2 linked regions of the Arabidopsis thaliana genome follow. The protein of the gene in region 1 purifies or fractionates together with the protein of each later gene. This does not show direct contact. Each region holds a gene or a part of one and is shown on either strand. Other genes may lie near its edges.

What was found.
Region 2: the proteins of ACAT2 (region 1) and ALDH6B2 fractionate together in Arabidopsis thaliana (co-fractionation; one large-scale study listed by BioGRID). This does not show direct contact.

Annotation. Positions count from the first base shown.
Region 1 is NC_003076.8:19,551,517-19,557,261, reverse strand, and holds ACAT2 (acetoacetyl-CoA thiolase 2), read left to right. Parts: upstream 1-1,730; 5' UTR 1,731-2,041; intron 2,042-2,132; 5' UTR 2,133-2,139; coding exon 2,140-2,173; exon of another isoform or gene 2,174-2,231; coding exon of another isoform or gene 2,232-2,250; coding exon 2,251-2,349; intron 2,350-2,436; coding exon 2,437-2,610; intron 2,611-2,704; coding exon 2,705-2,810; intron 2,811-2,889; coding exon 2,890-3,028; intron 3,029-3,249; coding exon 3,250-3,327; intron 3,328-3,402; coding exon 3,403-3,468; intron 3,469-3,791; coding exon 3,792-3,877; intron 3,878-4,003; coding exon 4,004-4,103; intron 4,104-4,181; coding exon 4,182-4,292; intron 4,293-4,371; coding exon 4,372-4,413; intron 4,414-4,515; coding exon 4,516-4,692; 3' UTR 4,693-4,708; intron 4,709-4,798; 3' UTR 4,799-5,120; downstream 5,121-5,745. Other genes in the region: AT5G48220 (Aldolase-type TIM barrel family protein), read right to left, coding at 5,216-5,299, 5,400-5,468, 5,568-5,650, 5,728-5,745. UniProt on the Arabidopsis thaliana protein: Catalyzes the condensation of two molecules of acetyl-CoA to produce acetoacetyl-CoA. Generates the bulk of the acetoacetyl-CoA precursor required for the cytosol-localized, mevalonate-derived isoprenoid biosynthesis.
Region 2 is NC_003071.7:5,976,633-5,983,706, reverse strand, and holds ALDH6B2 (aldehyde dehydrogenase 6B2), read left to right. Parts: upstream 1-1,807; coding exon 1,808-2,045; intron 2,046-2,090; exon of another isoform or gene 2,091-2,128; coding exon 2,129-2,226; intron 2,227-2,300; coding exon 2,301-2,372; intron 2,373-2,460; coding exon 2,461-2,622; intron 2,623-2,690; coding exon 2,691-2,769; intron 2,770-2,865; coding exon 2,866-3,020; intron 3,021-3,126; coding exon 3,127-3,190; intron 3,191-3,452; coding exon 3,453-3,532; intron 3,533-3,725; coding exon 3,726-3,791; intron 3,792-4,049; coding exon 4,050-4,100; intron 4,101-4,189; coding exon 4,190-4,341; intron 4,342-4,629; coding exon 4,630-4,720; intron 4,721-4,831; coding exon 4,832-4,912; intron 4,913-5,112; coding exon 5,113-5,190; intron 5,191-5,259; coding exon 5,260-5,295; intron 5,296-5,387; coding exon 5,388-5,431; intron 5,432-5,518; coding exon 5,519-5,597; intron 5,598-5,694; coding exon 5,695-5,785; coding exon of another isoform or gene 5,786-5,856; exon of another isoform or gene 5,857-5,873; coding exon 5,874-5,980; and 2 more. Other genes in the region: AT2G14160 (RNA-binding (RRM/RBD/RNP motifs) family protein), read left to right, coding at 6,906-7,019.

The sequences.
Region 1 (5,745 bases):
ATAATTTGTGTGATAAGAAGAAGAGAAGTATTTTTAGGAGTTGCCTCTCGTAGAAGTCTCTTTTTTTTTTTTTTTTGGTGAGATCAATCAAGGAACCACTTTAATCTTGATGACAATCCCAATATTTTATTCTTTTCTATTTCTTGCACAATAAAACTTAACTAACTATCTTATTTTCAATTTTAGATTTTTATGTTAATAAGTTTATATGAGCACAAAAATGGATAAATGTTTGCTACTTATACGAAAGAGATGTCATCATCTAGTCACACATGCATACTTTAAAAATGTCTTGTTAGCTACACTATATATTGTTATAACATACCGACATACACAAATAAATATAAGTTATGTTGCCAATACCATAACCATTCTACTTCGGTTGTCAGAATTATGCGTTGACCGATATTTTATTTTTGATAAACAATTAATAAATAATTATAATTTGCCCTTAAACAGAAAAAAAACTTTGGCCTAACTACAATTTCATTAACTTAGAGTTTAACTTTTGTATCAAGGGAAGGTACAATAGAGAGTATTTAGTAGATTGCTTTTTCGTTCCCAACAACCTATTCCATTTCCAGACAGAAAATCAATCCCCATCCTAATTCACTAAAAAAAAAAATCAATCTCCATCCCATTCGTGTTTGTTAGTTGAATTTGGGTCGTAATTTGGGGTTGAGTCGGATTTTAATAATTGCATATCGAATAAAAATTAAAAATTGGAATCAAAATCTTGGTCAAACAAACTGCAGTTATTGGAACACTTAATCATTGTCATAGAAGTTTGTCCAAAATAAAAACTCATTGTCATAGAAATAACTTATTAGCCCATATGTTTAGGGTTGTCATTAAAATAGATTTATATAGATTTGTATAATGAGAAGAAGGGAAGTTATCTTTAGGAGTTGCTTCTTGTGTTAACTCTCTCTTCTTCTTTTTTTGCTTTGTATGAGACCAGTCAAAGAACCACTTTAATCGTGGTGACAATCTGAATATTTTCTTCTTTTCGATTTCTTGCACAATTAAACTTAATGAACCATCTTATTTTCAATTTTAGATTTCTACTTTAACAAGCTCATATGAACACAAAAATCTATCTTGGTTTAGTTTGTCCCACAATAAATTTATTAACTTAAGAAGACTCAAGAGTTTAACTTCTATTAAGGGAATGTACAATAAAGCTATTTAGATTTCCTTCTCACCCAATTATGTCTATCCATTTGGATTAAGTGTGGGAGAGAGTATTCGTATTATCCATTTTAGTATATTACTTTTCCAAACAAAAATCAAAATACCCAAAAAATTAGAAATATTTATCTTAAAGTAGAATGTTCTCCAAATACATGTCCCAATGTGGAATTTCATTACATAAAACTTTTGAACCTAATTTAGAACCCAAAATTTTAATCCCGTCTTTGAATCAAAATAAATTGAATAATACTATCTTTTACCATCCGAATTATTTGTTTCCAATGTTTACCCTTTAACTTTCGTCCCAATCGCCGACCCACCCACCATATATTAAATGAGTCAACAAACAACAAATAAATATATTTAAAATAGAGATTTTGTGTAAATAATAAAGATTCTTTGTGCAAATTATATCTTAAATAAGGATTTGCGTTTTCCACAAAACAAAATAAATAAAGATTTGCGTAAATAACAAAGTTTCCAATTTCCATGTGCAATTATTTTCAAATATATATTTGCTATCAATGATGATTTATGTAGAAGAAGGGGTTGATACAGTAATTTAACAATAATTTATTTTAAAACATTTAAAGAGTTTGAAGTACAGATAATTTTTATTTTATTTTTTGAAAGACAGATCATATAGCAGTCGTGTTGCTCTTCATCGTAGTTATCGTCGCTGATTCACCAACAACAACAACATCACAAGAAAGCGTCCTCTTTTATAGGACCCTCTGTCCCTGTTTCTCTCTCCAGTTTTATTGTAGAATTCGCTGTCATTTTCACAACGACTCACTTCTTTCAGCTCTCTCCATTCGGCGCTCTCTTCTGGAATTGAAGAATCAAGGTAAATGATCCCACATAGATCCCAAATGTTTATAGGGGATCTGGTTCTTAATGAGATTGGTCCCTTGTTGACTTTTGACACCATTTTGTAGATTAGCAATGGCCCATACATCAGAATCTGTGAATCCTAGAGGTAACAAAACACTTTCATTAGTAAACTGAATTTGAAGGATGAATTTTTTTTTTGATATATGAATGTTGATGAATCAGATGTTTGCATTGTGGGTGTTGCACGTACTCCAATGGGTGGCTTTCTCGGATCTCTTTCATCTTTACCTGCCACAAAGCTTGGATCTTTAGCTATTGCAGGTATTAAAAAACAGTTCATGTTTCTGTGCAAAATCTTTAGCTTTATGTATAATTGACGAGCCCTTGTTGTTGTTTTTAATGATTTAGCTGCTTTGAAGAGAGCAAATGTTGATCCAGCTCTTGTTCAAGAAGTTGTCTTTGGCAATGTTCTTAGTGCTAATTTGGGTCAAGCTCCTGCTCGTCAAGCTGCTTTAGGTGCAGGAATCCCTAACTCTGTTATCTGTACTACAGTTAACAAGGTTTGTGCATCAGGCATGAAAGGTGAGAACTTTGGAACATTTGCGCTCTGCATTTTTTAGACTTTTGATTTGATGCTTTTGACAATGTTTTTCTGGTTTGTTTGGTGGTTTTTCAGCGGTAATGATTGCTGCTCAAAGTATCCAGTTAGGGATCAATGATGTAGTTGTGGCGGGTGGTATGGAAAGCATGTCTAATACACCAAAATATTTGGCAGAAGCAAGGTAAAATGATGTGGTTTTACGGAATCATTTGGTCTTTTTACTCTATGCATCATTGTTTCTTATTCGGATTTTGATGCAGGAAGGGATCTCGTTTTGGTCATGATTCTTTAGTAGATGGAATGTTGAAGGATGGACTATGGGATGTCTATAACGACTGTGGGATGGGAAGCTGTGCAGAATTATGCGCTGAGAAGTTTCAGATTACAAGGGAGCAGCAAGTATGTTGATCCTTAGTTTTCTTGAATTAAGACTCGTGATGCTTGTTGCATATTTGTACCCCATCAACTTATTATTGATAGATACTCTGCATACATCCTCTGTACAATTCCACTGCCTTGATCATTAGCCATCTGTGAACTACTAGAATTGGTTAGTTGGGCTCATTCTTTATGGAAACTCAAAACATGAGTTGATTGGTGTCTTACTGATGAATATGCAGGATGACTATGCAGTTCAGAGTTTTGAGCGTGGTATTGCTGCCCAGGAAGCTGGCGCCTTCACATGGGAAATCGTCCCGGTTAGTATATTTTTTGTAATTTTTGGTTAATGCGTTATACATGGTGAATATATACTAAGGTAATTGGTTATGCAGGTTGAAGTTTCTGGAGGAAGAGGTAGGCCATCAACCATTGTTGACAAGGACGAAGGTCTTGGGAAGGTGATTTATGTCCCCTTTTGGTTTAACGATTATGCATTTATACTCCAGTGAACCTGAGATTGTGCTTTTTCATGTTATTCACCTGTTGCATACAGATTGTTTTCTAAGTGAACTTTGCTGAACAATAGAGTATTTGCATTGACTACTGTTTTGAGAAAATTCTATTCATGTTTATGTTTTCAGTCATAAATTTTTATTCATTTGTATCTTCTACTGTATGAGGCATTACACGTCAGCAAATGAAACTTGTGGTTAAGATAACTCCAAAAAATGAGATCTAATTTAGTATGATTTGCTACATGTATGATGTCTCAATGTCTCAGTTTGATGCTGCAAAATTGAGGAAACTCCGTCCTAGTTTCAAAGAGAATGGAGGGACTGTTACAGCTGGAAATGCGTCTAGCATAAGGTCCTTTTCCTAGCTGACCATATATATGTTCTTAGCTTTTAGAGAACTCATGTAACGTATGAAGTGGATCTTGGTTAGATTTGCAACTTTTTTTTCTCTTTAGTAAATTTTGTCTCTCTTTGACAGTGATGGTGCAGCTGCCCTTGTCCTAGTGAGCGGAGAGAAGGCTCTTCAGCTAGGACTTCTAGTATTAGCAAAAATTAAAGGGTATGGTGACGCAGCTCAGGTACGTTACTTATAATCTTGCATTCCCTTTTTGAATACAATCTGATTCCATTCACTAAGTGAGACCCAAACCCTGCAGGAACCAGAGTTTTTCACTACTGCTCCTGCTCTTGCTATACCAAAAGCCATTGCACATGCTGGTTTGGAATCTTCTCAAGTTGATTACTATGAGATCAATGAAGCATTTGCAGTAAGAACATCTGTCTTCTTCCTTACATAATTGACAAACCATTGTGATGCGTAATTTTTACTAAACTGACTTTTCACAGGTTGTAGCACTTGCAAATCAAAAGCTACTCGGGATTGCTCCAGTAAGTCTTTTATATCACCGAGTCTGTTAAATCATCATCTTCTCAATCAACTTAATCAAGTGGTTTCATAAACATGGATTTTGTTCCTCTTTGCCTAAACAGGAGAAAGTGAACGTAAATGGAGGAGCTGTCTCCTTAGGACACCCTCTAGGCTGCAGTGGCGCCCGTATTCTAATCACGTTGCTTGGGATACTAAAGAAGAGAAACGGAAAGTACGGTGTGGGAGGAGTGTGCAACGGAGGAGGAGGTGCTTCTGCTCTAGTTCTTGAGCTCCTTTGATGCATTATGAATCCAGGTAACTCACATTCTGCTTAGCGTTCATAGATCGAAGATGTAGAATGCAGGAAAGGAACTCATGATCTCCTCTCATGTGTTTTCTTCTCAGGTTGGTAAACTAAATAGATGGATCTATCTCTCATCCAACTTCCATGAGTCAGTCATTGCACTTTACGTTTTATGTTAGTTGGTCTCTCAATAAAGGAGTGATCGTTGATGTTGTTAAGTCTATTTATTTATATGAACTCGGCTTCTTTTTTTCTCTTACCGGTGACAGTCAGTTATTGAATCATGGACCGATTTACCGTAGTTAATGATTTATCCTCATGTACTCATTAAAACGTCGACCAAGATTTGACATTTGATGGATAAATTTAAGTACACAATGTGTATGTAAGACAAGAAAATAATAATAATTGGACATTTCTGTAAAGGCACAAGCCTCTGCGCACTTGAGCGGCACTTAAGAAGAAAAAAAGAGACTTCAATGAAGATTTTCTCTATACAAAAAGTTTCTACTCGGAATTTACTCTGAGACATCTCTTCCAAATAGGGTGCTGATTGCCTTCCCGGGATCGCTTTGTTTAATAAGAGATTCGCCGACTAAAACCTAATAACAGGAAAAGAAAATCACATGGGAGCTAAGATCAGGTGAACCAATATCATTGTGGGCAATGTTATCTTGAACTATAAAGTTTGTGAAAGCTTACTGCTTTGACACCGGCTTCTTGAACAAAGGCGATATCTTCGGGAGTGAATAACCCAGATTCTCCAACCACCTACAATGTGAAGACAAGTTGAGGATATACAAACTTTAAGTAAGGTGTGTGTAACATTGTAAGGGGTAAGAGAAACAGGGGATGTGAAATACTACTTACAAGGATGTCTTTTTGACGGATCAGTTCGCCACGCTCTCCCTCAAGTAGCTTCTTTGTGATACCAAGATCTACCTCAAATGTTTCTGAAAGAAAAGGTGATAAAACGGATCAAGAAGGATTGTATGTCTAGCTTTAAAGGAGGTCTGGTTCAAGCATTTACCAAGGTTACGGTTATTGA
Region 2 (7,074 bases), on another chromosome or scaffold:
CACTTGTATTCATTGTTCGTTACACTTTGTGTTTATATATATAGTACATAATCTTTATTACAACAAACAATACAATTCTCTCTATTATTCTCTAAAACAATCTTCCTTTTCTCCAAAAAAATATTTCTTTTCTCCAAAACAATCTTCCTTTTCACCAAACAATCTTCTTTTTCTCCAAACATTTATCTTCATAGTTCATCAAACATGAGATCTTCTTCATCTTATAATCTTGACGATAAGTTTGATCAATTTTTCAATGAAACATTATAGAGATATGTTGATCGTCAACCAACCAAGTCAACAAAAATGAGCATATATTGCAAGAGATCGTGAACTAGGACACATCCAGTTGTAGAACGATTATTTCAAAGAAGATGCGACATTCCCTCCTCATATATTGTGACACCGATTTAGAATGAACAAGCCATTGTTTATACGTATTGTTGACGGACTCTCCAATGAAATTTCATGCTTTGAACAAAGAAGAGATGTTATCGGCAGGTTAGGTTTATCGGCACTACGAAGTGTACAACAACAATTCATATGATTGCATATGGTTGTTCAGTGGATGCGGTTGACGAATACCTACAGATTGTGAAAGCACTTCGATATCATGTATGATACATTTTGTTGAATGAATTATATATTTGTTTGGGAAAGAGTATCTAAGTAGACCTACACGACAAGATCTTAAACGACTACTCCGTATTGGAGAGGTACATGAATTTTTTGGGATGATAGGAAGCATCGATTGTATGCACTGGAAGTGGAAGAATTGCCCCACCTTTTGGAAAGGATAATATACACGTGTATCTGGCAAACCGGCAATAGTGTTAAAGGCTATTGCTTTCCAAGATCTTTGGATATGACATACTTTTTTTGGACCTCCAGATTTCTTAAATGATATATATACTTGATTGCTTACCAGTTTTTGATGATAAATTACAAGGTCGAGCTCCAAAAGTGAAATATATCGTCAACTGGACCTACTATCATTTGGTTTATTATCTCACTGATAGAATTTATCCTAAATGGGCTACATTTATCCAATCTATTTCAATTCCACAAGGTCACAAAGATTCTTTATTTGTTACAAATTAAGAAGCTTGTTGTCAAAATGGTTAACGTGCTTTGGGAGTTTTGCAAACTTGGTTTGTAATTGTCAATCCAGCTCTTATTTGGGATAAGAAAAAAATAGGAATGATCATGCGAGCATGCATAATACTTCCCAATATGATAGTAGAGGATGAACAAGATAAGTACATTCAGTTTGATGCAGCTGAATTCACACAACCAAAATCAACCAGCTCTTTACAAATGGATTTCAACTATTTTACAGATATGCTTTCAAATCTCGGCAATATTATGGCCGCTCGAGCCCGAGTTCGTGATCTGGCTATACATCCACAATTGAAAGCTAATTTGGTTAAGCATATATAACAAACATTTGGCGGGAATTAAGCTAACAATTAATCGTTATTCTGATTTTCGATTTTCGTATTTTATATATGCTTTTATGTCATGTATCTTTAAAATTGGTGTATTTGCAATAACTATTCAGTTTTATAAAATAAAATATTTATAATTTTTATTTTAATAATAATTTTTTTTTAAAAGCCCACTTTTTTCATTAGACAAAAAAAATTTAACAATCTATCCAAAACTCTTAAATTTGAATTTGATAAAATTTATAATTAAAAGATTTGGAAGAGCCCCATAAAAAGCTCTTGGACTTGCTTTTAGTTTTAAAATTGTTAAGGCTAAATATCTTTTTTTTTTTTGTCAACCATGTACATATATCTTGGTGATGGTGAGAGTCAAACAAAAGAATCTTGAATCTTATAGATCTAACGGTACATATCCACCCACGTGGCGAAATCCAACCACTTCATTCGCACCCGATCAACATCGAGTCAGCATTCACTCATCACTCAAATCCAAAACCAAAAGGAGACGCTTATACAAAGAAGCAGACGACAACACCAAACTCCGATCATCATCATCAACAACAACAACAACAACAACGATGCTGCTTCGAATTTCTGGTAAAAATCTCGATTCTCTTGTACTCGAATCAAAATCTGCAGACTTCGATACTATCGAAGCTAGTTTTTGTTACTGTTTTCAGGTAACAATCTGAGACCTTTGAGACCACAATTTCTCGCTCTTCGAAGCTCTTGGTTATCAACTTCGCCGGAGCAATCTACTCAACCACAAATGCCTCCGGTGAGTTCTTAGATCGATTTCGATGTGATTTTTATTCAAAAGTTTTGATTTTTCGATGTGGGTTCTGTTTTCAGAGAGTACCAAATCTTATTGGAGGTTCTTTTGTTGAGTCTCAATCATCTTCGTTTATCGATGTTATAAACCCTGTAAGCAAACTCTCTTATGAGTCCTATACTCTTGTTTGATTACTTAAAGGTTTGAACTTTGAAGTAAATTCTGATTTGCTATTATTAGGCTACACAAGAGGTTGTATCTAAAGTTCCATTGACTACTAATGAAGAGTTTAAAGCTGCGGTATCCGCTGCGAAGCAAGCGTTTCCGTTGTGGAGAAACACGCCGATTACTACCCGGCAGCGTGTTATGCTAAAGTTTCAAGAGCTTATACGCAAGAATATGGTAGCTACCTGGTTTAGTTTGCTATGATCTTGATATGTGCTTGGCTGAAAGTTTTGATTTTTCTGTAGGATAAACTTGCTATGAACATCACAACCGAGCAAGGGAAGACTTTAAAGGATTCACATGGTGATATCTTCCGTGGGTTAGGTTAGTATTTTATTTATGTATTGTAGGTTTGATTATATGATTGACAAGAAGAGGAGAACCTTAGTGCTTATTTTTGGTACATGGTTTCTTACGCAGAGGTTGTGGAGCATGCGTGTGGAATGGCAACCTTACAGATGGGTGAATATCTCCCCAATGTGTCGAACGGAGTTGATACATATAGTATTAGAGAGCCATTAGGTGTTTGTGCTGGCATTTGTCCTTTTAACTTTCCAGCCATGATTCCTTTATGGGTAACATGCTAAGCCCTTTTTTATATGGCTTCATTATGTATATCGTTAATTCTTTGTGATTCTCTTATGTGAATTCTGCGTATTTATTATGTGTTTGTTAGTGCAGATGTTTCCTGTTGCAGTGACATGTGGTAATACCTTTATTCTGAAGCCATCAGAGAAGGATCCCGGTAAAATACCCTTATTCCTTCGAACTATTCCAGTTACTAATAGACACTTCTGTGGTGTTTAATTGATGTATGGGAAGTTCAAGATGTCTTGACTTTCAGATCATGTTGTAACATATCGTTGATGCCAGTGTAGTGAACATGCATTTTACTACCACCGCCAATGTGATGAGCGAAATGTATTGTTGATTGACTGTTTTCCACTATAGCTATAGAGGTCCCTTCTATTGATTGGTTGATTATTGATATTACTTGCTTTCTCCAGGTGCTTCTGTAATACTTGCCGAGTTGGCAATGGAAGCTGGTTTACCTGATGGGGTTCTCAATATCGTTCACGGAACCAATGTAGGTTATGTTTAAACTTTCTGCTCTTTCTAAATTTCTTATTTGTTAGCATTTGAATTGTTAAAGTAAGGATCCCGTCGAGAGATATTATGGTGAATATTCTAGTTTGCAATTAGAGTAACCTAGTTTGTAAAGATTCCGCACTATTACCTTCACTTTCTTTGTTGTCACTGAAAATGCATCTGTTGCACAGGATACTGTGAATGCTATCTGTGATGATGAAGATATAAGGGCTGTTTCTTTTGTTGGCTCCAACACGGTAAGTACTTTTTTTTTTATGTTGCTCTTTTATAGCCTGCAGACTTGGCTTTGCATTTGACCGAGTTATTTACAAATATTCATTTAGTCAGTGTCCTGTGTAATTATTTCAGCTGTCTAATAAAACGTTAATTGTATACAAAATCATACCTTAGATCTTCAAAATCTGTCAATATGGACTGGTAATGGCAGAATTGCTTTTCTTCTGAGCTCAACCTTTTCGTTAAACTTGCGTATTAATGCATTGTTTTGTTTAAAGGCTGGAATGCATATATACGCAAGAGCAGCAGCAAAAGGAAAACGTATTCAGGTAAAGTCTTGCATCTTTTCCCATTTAAAAGTCTTCCTTGCTATTTCGAAACGACACTATGTCAAATTGCTTATAATATATTGACTCAGTCAAATATGGGGGCGAAAAATCATGGACTTGTCTTGCCTGATGCCAACATCGATGCAACTTTAAATGCGCTACTTGCTGCTGGGTTTGGTGCCGCTGGACAGAGATGCATGGCACTGAGTACAGTGGTTTTTGTTGGCGATGCAAAATCATGGTACTGCTTACTTTATATATTCAAATTACTCCAGTTTCTCGAATATCTTATATTTCTTGTGATAAACACATTTTCCTGTAATCTTTTTCTCTCGTACGGTTTCCAGAACCACGCCTTTAGGGTGCTTAAGCCATATATAGGATAGTTAAGATAACACCATTTTCTTTAATTTAGATTGACTATTGTTGTGTCCTAATACTAAATGTAACTGAAGAATATGTATGAGGCCTGTTGATTTTCATTTGACAGTCATGAAAGATTAGCTTTAACTTGTCTAATACTAACCAGGGAGGATAAACTCGTTGAGCGAGCTAAGGCCCTTAAAGTCACATGTGGGTCAGAACCAGATGCAGACCTGGGTCCTGTGATTAGTAAACAGGTATTTTCGCGCACAAACCTCTGAACTTACATGTGTAAAAATTATGTTTAGTTTTGCATTCTGTCTGTTGTTCAATATGTATACGTTATTGTTAAATTTTGATATGACTAGGCGAAAGAACGGATATGCCGGTTGATTCAGTCTGGTGTAGATGATGGTGCTAAATTGCTGCTTGACGGAAGAGATATTGTGGTATTTTCCCATTCTCCATATTTACTGCTATTGCAACAGACTCATGCCTTAAATATAGCACTACCCTCCACATTCTTATCAAATAGTAATCATCAAGAACCGCAGAAATATCTTGATTTAATAATCTTTGTGTAATCTTGAAAACAACGCAAAGATCAACTGGTCCGAGAAGTTTATATGTTTTCTCTTATAACAAACAGGTTCCAGGATATGAGAAAGGGAATTTTATCGGTCCTACCATTCTATCTGGTGTTACCCCAGACATGGAGTGTTACAAGGTATTTTCTGACATTAAGGCAAATGATCCGTACTCTACTTGAATCTTAAAAATTCATTTTTCTTCGCAGGAGGAAATATTTGGCCCTGTTCTTGTGTGCATGCAGGTCAGATTGGAAAACTAGTCTTATATCATTCATTTATTCGTGAATTGTGAGATTAATGCCCTCTGATGCTTTTGTGACATATTCATTTACAGGCAAACAGTTTTGATGAGGCCATATCTATAATAAATAAAAACAAGTAAAACACCCTGTTCTATCATCATCTTAATACTAAAATTTAATCGTCTCATCATCTTCAACAATTTGCTACTTACGCCGTCAACAGGTATGGGAACGGTGCTGCGATTTTCACGTCGTCCGGGGCAGCAGCAAGAAAGTTCCAGATGGACATAGAAGCAGGACAGGTATGAAGAACTTTGGGCCCTATAAAATACAACATTACTTGTATGCATTTGATTACATGTTTGATATCTTCTTTTGTTGTTGTTAATGTTTGCCCAGATCGGTATTAATGTTCCAATCCCGGTTCCATTACCGTTCTTTTCCTTCACCGGGAACAAGGCCTCATTCGCAGGAGATCTTAACTTCTATGGTAAAATTCTTGTCACAACTAAACAAAAGAAGATCCATTCTCCTTTCTCTTTGCTTATATATATACTTTGAGTGAACTATTTTTGCAGGCAAAGCAGGAGTGGACTTTTTCACTCAGATCAAAACTGTTACACAACAGTGGAAAGATATTCCAACTTCAGTATCTCTGGCAATGCCAACGTCTCAAAAGCAATAATGAGACCTTAACTTCAAATACTTTTTTTACTTTTGGATTATCGAATCAGCTTCAAGAAGAACCCTTTGTTTATTTTTCAGCTCTCTAGTATTTTCTCATGCTTAGTTTCCTTCTTTTAATCACTATGGTGACTAGAACTCTAGAAGTAACCATGGGAATAAGAAAAAGTAAAAATCTCAAATTTGCCTAATTTGTCAAATAAAACCCCTAAATGACATTCTTTGAGTCGTAAACTCATAAAAGTCAAAGTGAAACTTATATATACAAGTTATTATGTGTCTTCATTCCCAATTGAAACCCAAAAATCCCTGAATTCAATAAACTCGAATTACGAAATTTTGAGTTTTATTTTGACTGTTTTTTAATTATCATGTAAACAACTCAATCTACATGGACCATGACCAAAGAAAACTGAAACCTTAAACCTATAAAGTAGTATCATTATTTAGTGAAAACTAGTTCCCAAAAAAAATCACTAGTTTAAACCTTATTGTATTTTTTGAACTTTAAGATGTTGTAGACTCATCAAAGTCAAAGTTAACGATCTTTAATTTATTGTGTTTTTTCTTTTCCAATTAAAACCCAAAATTCAATAATCTTTGGATCGAAAATTTGAGTTTTGTTTTGACTGTTTTTCTAATTATCATCTAAACAAACTATACACGACCATGACCAAAAAACATAAACTTTTCGCCTTCCACTATAAAAGTATCATCATTTAGTGTAAACTAGTTCCAAGAAAAAAATACACTTGTTTCAAACCATATTAGAGTTAATAGCATTTATCGATATCATCACATGCATTTACCGCTAACCTTTTTCTATAAATTGACTAAAGTGTCTCTCATTTTATGTCACTCATAAAATTGCTATGTTTTCTACTTAGAAATCACTACTTGTTTTTGAACTCTCTTACTCTTTCAAAATGGCTTCCACAAATGTTGAATTCACGTGCTATGTTGGCAATTTGGAGTCGGACACAGAAGAAAATGATCTTAAGAATGCATTTTCTCAGTTTGGTGACGTTATACATTCTAATGTTCGGTTTTCTTTTCACTTTTCCCTCATTGGTACTGAATTTTTTTTTCATCTAT